Linked DNA regions of Schizosaccharomyces pombe. The protein of the gene in region 1 interacts with the protein of each later gene in a pairwise test. Each region holds a gene or a part of one and is shown in the gene's direction. Other genes may lie near its edges. The genes, in order: aha1 and spe2.

What was found.
Region 2: the proteins of aha1 (region 1) and spe2 interact in a two-hybrid assay, tested with the Schizosaccharomyces pombe proteins (one large-scale study listed by BioGRID).

Annotation. Positions count from the first base shown.
Region 1 is NC_003423.3:2,146,949-2,150,877, forward strand, and holds aha1 (chaperone activator Aha1), read left to right. Parts: upstream 1-2,104; 5' UTR 2,105-2,176; coding exon 2,177-2,208; intron 2,209-2,583; coding exon 2,584-3,562; 3' UTR 3,563-3,853; downstream 3,854-3,929. Other genes in the region: WD repeat-containing protein Rrb1, read left to right, coding at 1-750.
Region 2 is NC_003423.3:2,875,915-2,879,843, reverse strand, and holds spe2 (S-adenosylmethionine decarboxylase proenzyme Spe2), read left to right. Parts: upstream 1-2,297; 5' UTR 2,298-2,474; coding exon 2,475-3,611; 3' UTR 3,612-3,774; downstream 3,775-3,929. Other genes in the region: cut14 (condensin complex SMC subunit Smc2), read left to right, coding at 1-1,994.

The DNA of each region.
Region 1 (3,929 bases):
TCGCGTAAGGAAAATAGTCCGCTTTATACTGTTAATCGTCATAAAACTGAGGGATATGCACTTGACTGGTCTCCCTTTGAATATTCTTTACTTTCTGGTGACAATGCAAATGAGATATTCCTGACGAAGTATAGCAATGGTGGTTGGCAAACTGACTCTTCTCCTTTTCTAAGCCATACTGCTGCTGTCGAAGATCTACAATGGTCTCCTAGTGAAAAGAACGTATTTTCCAGTTGCAGTTGCGATGGCACTTTTCGCATCTGGGATGTCCGAAATAAACAAAAGACGTCAGCTCTTACCGTCAATGCTCATCCTGGTGTCGACGTTAATGTGTTAAGTTGGAATACACGTGTACCTAATTTATTGGCAACTGGTGCTGATAATGGTGTTTGGAGCGTGTGGGACCTTCGTTCTCTGAAAAGTTCATCCTCAGTTGCAACTCCTGTTGCTTCTTTCAAATGGCACCGTGCTCCTATATACAGTATTGAATGGCATCCTAACGAAGATTCCGTTATTGGTGTCGTTGGTGCGGATAATCAAATTTCATTATGGGATTTATCGGTGGAGCTTGATGAAGAAGAACAAGACAGTCGTGCAGCAGAGGGGTTGCAGGACGTTCCTCCTCAGTTAATGTTTATACACATGGGTCAACAAGAAATCAAGGAAATGCATTGGCATAGGCAAATACCTGGAACGATTGTCTCCACTGCTATGACTGGTATAAATGTGTTTAAAACTATCACTTTTTAGTGCCTAATTTTTCAATGCAAGGGTTTGGTCAAGTAGTTCTTGCTAAATCACTCGTTCTTTTTTCATTTGAGAGTGGTGAAATGTTATCATATTTTGGTTGGTTCGGTTTTGGTGATATAAAAAGTTTTTTTTGATAGATTATAATAATTATCTTAATTGGAAAGTAGAATCTACTTTTAAAAGCAAATTACGCTCTATGTTTGCTAATTTCAAGCGTTATTGTTATAAGTCTGAACGCTTGTGTATTTATGAAAACTGTATCATATGCTTAACGACTGCTTTCCAACTGAGAAGGCAAACTATTTATTTTTATTAATTTGAAAAATAGAATTCAATATGATACACAAAGAGTTTTCAAGTTAAATGTAACTTCATATCTGTCTTGAAGTGGATCTTCTTTCCTTTTCAGCATGGAAAGATGCAGAATTTTCCCAACGGAGGTTTTTCACTAAATACACATTATTAGTTTAACAATTTAAATTACTATCCGCATGATTATGCAGTTGATTAATTTGCAAATAGATGTTATTATACAATAACATGCATTTACCACTGAGACCATTAGTCTTCCATCTATACCTCATGCGGTATATATTGTTCAATGCAAGGGTTTGGTTCAAGTAGTTCTTGCTAAATCACTCGTTCTTTTTTCATTTGAGAGTGGTGAAATGTTATCATATTTTGGTTGGTTCGGTTTTGGTGATATAAAAAGTTTTTTTTGATAGATTATAATAATTATCTTAATTGGAAAGTAGAATCTACTTTTAAAAGCAAATTACGCTCTATGTTTGCTAATTTCAAGCGTTATTGTTATAAGTCTGAACGCTTGTGTATTTATGAAAACTGTATCATATGCTTAACGACTGCTTTCCAACTGAGAAGGCAAACTATTTATTTTTATTAATTTGAAAAATAGAATTCAATATGATACACAAAGAGTTTTCAAGTTAAATGTAACTTCATATCTGTCTTGAAGTGGATCTTCTTTCCTTTTCAGCATGGAAAGATGCAGAATTTTCCCAACGGAGGTTTTTCACTAAATACACATTATTAGTTTAACAATTTAAATTACTATCCGCATGATTATGCAGTTGATTAATTTGCAAATAGATGTTATTATACAATAACATGCATTTACCACTGAGACCATTAGTCTTCCATCTATACCTCATGCGGTATATATTGATAGTAGAGCACATTCATTGTTAGCACAACAGTTTCTAGCGGAGCTTAGCATACTGCATGTCCTCTTAGATACTCGTCTTTTCCTTCTCTCGAAGATTCCTGAGACTTCGATGGGGGTGGTGTAGGTGGGGGTATATATATAGAAGGAGGTTGAAACGAGCATGAGATTGAAATTGGACGCAACACCTTGTTTGCTTTAGAATTTGAACGAAATTCATTTGTTAGCTTATATTGAGTAGGAATGTCGGCCACATCTATAAACCCCAATAACTGGTATGTACAGTAGTGTTGGGATAAAAAAATTTCCAAACTTAAGTCATGTAACTATGTTTTTATTCATTTCCATCGTATTATCCCTTATTCAATTTCAATGACATTTTTGATTGGGTTGAACACAATAATATTCTATTGAATGAATTCGTATAAACGAGCGAAATTGGGTTTCACCATTTTACATTGTTGCTAGCCAAATCATGATGTCAAGATTGGGTTGATCCTATTATGAAAGTTTTTTCTTTATTGAGTCGGTAGTTATTCAATGCGTTGGTTTCTGAATATGGAATAGTAGTTCATCGTCAAAGGTTTGGAATATTTACGAAACGATGGATATGTCCAAATAAAACGATTGATTCGCTAACTCAATTTTAGGCATTGGACTTCAAAGGATTGTCGAGTATGGTCTCATGAGTACTTCAATAAGGAACTTCCTAAGATCCAAGCTTCTGAGGGCCCCACTAGTGCTCGCATTACCCAAGTCAATAGCTGTGAAGGAGATGTCGATGTCTCTATGCGCAAAAGAAAGGTCATTACTATTTTTGATTTGAAAATACAAATGGAATTTAAAGGAGAAACTAAGGATGGAGTTGAAGCTACTGGCTCCATTACTTGCCCCGAGCTTTCTTATGACTTAGGATACTCTGATTACGTGTTTGACATCGACATTTACTCTGCTTCAAAGGAAAAAGAACCCATTAAAGAGCTTGTTCGTGAGAAAATTATTCCTCAAATTCGTCAGCTTTTTTCTGGATTTTCCCAAGTTTTGTTGCAAACCCATGGTGACGATGTTTATCTCTCCACTGAAGAACATAACGGTAACGCTGCTCGTGGACTTCCCGTGCATAGTAGCTTTAAGCAAAACAATTCTTCACAGACTTCGTCTAACAAAGGTACTACCACGGTGGCCGCTGGATCTGGCTCTGATGGCTCTCGTGTATCAGCAGTAGTCAATACTGCCGATATTTCTGAGAACTATACTTTTGATGCTCCTGCTAATGAACTTTATGCTACTTTCCTTGATCCTGCTCGCGTAGCTGCTTGGTCTCGCGCTCCTCCGCAACTCGATGTTCGTCCGCAAGGCGCTTTCTCTCTGTTCCATGGAAATGTAGTTGGAAAATTCCTTGTACTGGAAGAAAACAAAAAAATCGTGCAAACTTGGCGTCTTAGTTCGTGGCCCACCGGTCACTATGCTGAAATAACATTCACCTTCGATCAAGCTGATTCTTATACTACTTTACGTATGATTATGAAGGGTGTTCCGATCGGCGAAGAGGAGGTTGTACAAGGTAATATTCAGGATTATTATATTCGTCCCATTAAGACAGTTTTTGGTTTTGGCGCTGTTCTGTAATCGATCTTGACTTTCACATATGGATGATTAGCTCAGAAAAAAATTTAACAATCCTTTATAAATCCTGCATACAGGCTATGTTTCAAATAATGTATTCTATTGTGAGTTTTGCTTTTTTTGAAGGCAAATGAAATATAGATAAAATCAGGTTTTATCAAGAATGCATAACCATAGTTTGTCCTCTTGTTTTTTCAAAATTATTAAAATTTAATGAATTTTACAGCCATGATTGACTGATGCCACGATTTGTGAATATTTTCACTGATTGTATGTCTAATTATAATATGTTACACATTGGTAAATCCCATGTTTATTAAAAACAAAATATAGAATATCTAAATTAATTTCATCAAATTGTTAGGATTGT
Region 2 (3,929 bases), 730 kb from region 1:
CTTATACCGACCCTACTCCTAATTTTGATCGCTCAAAGGTGAAAGGATTGGTGGCTCAATTGCTAACCTTGAATGAAGAGAATTATGACAAGCAAACTGCATTAGAAATTACAGCTGGTGGCCGCCTTTATAATCTCATTGTTGAAACCGAGAAAATTGGTGCACAATTGCTTCAAAAAGGAAACCTGAAGAGGAGAGTTACTATTATTCCCCTCAACAAAATTACCAGCTTCGTAGCTTCAGCAGAGAGAGTAGGCGCAGCCAAAAAAATTTCTAATAATAAAGCCCAACTTGCTTTGGAATTAATCGGTTATGACGATGAGCTTTTGCCTGCAATGCAGTATGTTTTTGGCTCCACATTAGTCTGTGATACCCCTGAATCGGCAAAGAAAGTTACCTTTCATCCTTCAGTTAAATTAAAAAGTGTCACGCTTGATGGTGATGTTTATGACCCATCTGGTACCCTTACTGGTGGGTCTGTGAATAAATCTGCCGGTCCTTTACTACAGATACAAAAGCTGAACAGTCTGCAGCTAAAATTGCAAGTAGTTACTTCAGAATATGAAAAGTTGGAGACTCAACTTAAAGACTTAAAGACTCAAAATGCCAATTTTCATCGACTTGAGCAAGAAATTCAACTAAAGCAACATGAATTAACACTTTTGATAGAGCAAAGAGAGACCGACTCATCTTTTCGTCTTTTATCTGATTATCAGCAGTACAAAGACGACGTTAAAGATCTCAAGCAAAGGCTTCCTGAATTAGACAGACTTATATTGCAAAGTGACCAAGCTATAAAAAAAATTGAACGAGACATGCAAGAATGGAAACATAACAAGGGATCAAAAATGGCTGAATTGGAAAAGGAGTTTAATCAATACAAGCACAAGTTAGACGAGTTTACTCCTATATTGGAAAAGTCCGAGAATGACTATAATGGCGTTAAACTCGAATGTGAACAATTAGAAGGCGAATTGCAAAACCATCAGCAATCTCTCGTACAAGGTGAATCGACCACGAGTTTAATAAAGACGGAAATTGCAGAACTTGAGCTGTCACTTGTTAATGAGGAGCATAATCGAAAGAAACTCACCGAACTAATAGAAATTGAAAGCGCCAAGTTTTCTGGACTTAACAAAGAGATAGATTCACTCAGTACCTCAATGAAAACATTCGAATCTGAAATAAACAATGGGGAGCTAACAATTCAAAAGCTGAACCACGAGTTTGACCGATTAGAGCGAGAAAAATCAGTTGCTATAACTGCTATTAATCATTTGGAAAAGGAAAATGATTGGATAGATGGACAGAAACAGCACTTTGGTAAGCAAGGAACCATTTTCGATTTTCACTCTCAAAACATGCGTCAGTGTAGAGAGCAGTTACATAATTTGAAACCGCGATTTGCTAGTATGCGTAAAGCTATTAATCCCAAGGTTATGGACATGATTGACGGTGTAGAAAAGAAAGAAGCCAAATTGCGCTCTATGATAAAGACCATTCATCGCGATAAGAAAAAGATCCAAGATACTGTCAAAAGTATTGATCGGTTTAAAAGGAGTGCCTTAGAAAAAACCTGGAGAGAAGTCAATTCTTCTTTCGGTGAAATTTTTGACGAACTACTTCCTGGTAATAGTGCAGAACTACAGCCACCAGAGAATAAAGAATTCACTGATGGATTGGAAATTCATGTAAAAATTGGGTCAATTTGGAAAGATAGTCTGGCAGAACTTAGTGGTGGACAAAGGTCTCTAGTTGCATTGGCTCTTATTATGTCTCTACTTAAATATAAGCCTGCTCCAATGTACATTTTAGATGAAATTGACGCGGCGCTCGATTTAAGTCATACCCAAAACATTGGAAGACTTATTAAAACAAAGTTTAAAGGTTCTCAGTTTATTATTGTTAGCCTTAAAGAAGGAATGTTTACCAATGCTAATCGACTATTTCATGTACGATTTATGGACGGATCATCTGTGGTACAAGCTCGCTAATTTGAACGTAAACACTTGAATTATACGCGCATGTATAGTCCTACTATTTACTATCACCGATGTCTTAATTTATTTAAAGAATATTTCTACCAATCATTAAAAACAAGACTTTTGGTTCTTTAAAGTTGTTTGTGCCGCTAATGAAACTTAGACTACGGTATGTATCATATGTATAAAATATCGTAAACTCATCATTTCCAAATTTATTATTAGCGTCGATGTCATTTGTAGCATATTCAAAAATATTTAGGGTAGGGTTTTAAAATTTTGATCGATACAGGATGTTTCTGTGGTTATGTATTTAGCCTCAACATCATATAAAATTGGTGCGACAGCCGCAATTAAGTTATTATTTGTATGCTTTTTTGCTAATAAATATCCTAAAAGTGTAACTGGAGCAACTAGCTAGTACGTGTTTTGGGAATTACACTCACAGCGCACATATAGCATTGGAAGTTCTTTGTATGACTATATTCTAAAATGTCTCCTACCCTTGTTGTTGATCAAGAGAATTCGGAAGAATTTAACACCTCCTCATTTGAAGGTCCTGAAAAATTGCTGGAACTATGGTTTTCGGCTCCTATAAAAACCAATTTAAGTGCGGGTGAAAAGGCTAACTTGGGACTAAAAGCTGTTTCTCGCAATGATTGGGATGATATGCTAGCCCAAGCCCAATGTAAAGTCCTCAGCGTTGTTAATAGTGAAGAAATAGATGCATATTTACTTTCTGAATCCTCTATGTTTGTGTTTGCCCATAAAATTATCCTTAAAACATGCGGAACCACTACACTACTGGCTAGTTTGCCTCGCCTATTAGAAATTGCTTCTAGTGTTGGCTTTGATCGTCCTCTTCGTATTTTTTACTCAAGAAAAAACTTTTTATATCCCGAACGCCAGCTTGCACCACATACGAGTTGGGAGGAAGAAGTTCGTTACTTACAACTGTTTTTTCCAAGTGGATGCTCTTATGTAGTGGGTCCGACAAACAAGAATCACTGGCATCTGTTTTCTGATCTGGCTGATGATTATTCTTTACTGGAAGATTCCCTTGATCCTGAAGATGAGACCCTAGAGGTACTCATGACTGATATGTCTCCCGAACGCTCGCTTCAGTTTTACGCTCCATCCTTGGATGTTGTTCGGAGCGCTAGAGGTGATGACTATGTTCGAGAAAAAAACAATCTCTCGGGGGGTCACATCCTTGGCAGTTATGTAGCTGATGAATCGGGTGTTAGAGACTTATGTAGTACCTCTGATAAAAAAGCAGTGCTTGATGCTTTTCAATTTGAGCCAATTGGGTTCTCGTCGAATATGATTTACAAGGACCGCTATGCCACAATCCATGTTACGCCTCAAGAACATTGTTCTTATGCTTCATTTGAAACAAATGTTTCGCAATTCCAATTCGGAAGATCCATATCTGAAACAATCGAAAAAACTGTTAAAACTTTTGGTGCAAACAAATTTTGTCTTACCCTTTTCCAGGCTAAAGGTGCGTCTCAAGAGAAGCATTTCTCGGCCAAACTTAAATCTTTTAGCTCTTATAAGCGTGAAGAATTTATAGTGTATGACTTTCCTGGATATGATCTTATATTTGCCAGCTTTACTGCAGTATAAGTTCGGAGAACAGTCAGCTAGATATTTTAAATTATCTGTTGCTATATTTATTATCATTCTTTTTTACGGTGGAGCGTGCCATGCGAATACCCCTTTTTACAATCTTTCATTATGCAAAAAGTAGTCGTCTTTTGTTTGCTTGTTTTATAAAAGGTTTCATAGTTATGAATACCAAAAAGTTTATTATGAATATCTAAATGCAATGCTTATGTATCTAGTCATCGGTTATCTTGTATTATGCTAAAGTAAACTCATTTGCTTTCTTTATTTTGAGTGTTTAGATATTTGTTGTAAGTATGCTTAAAACCTCGGATCAGG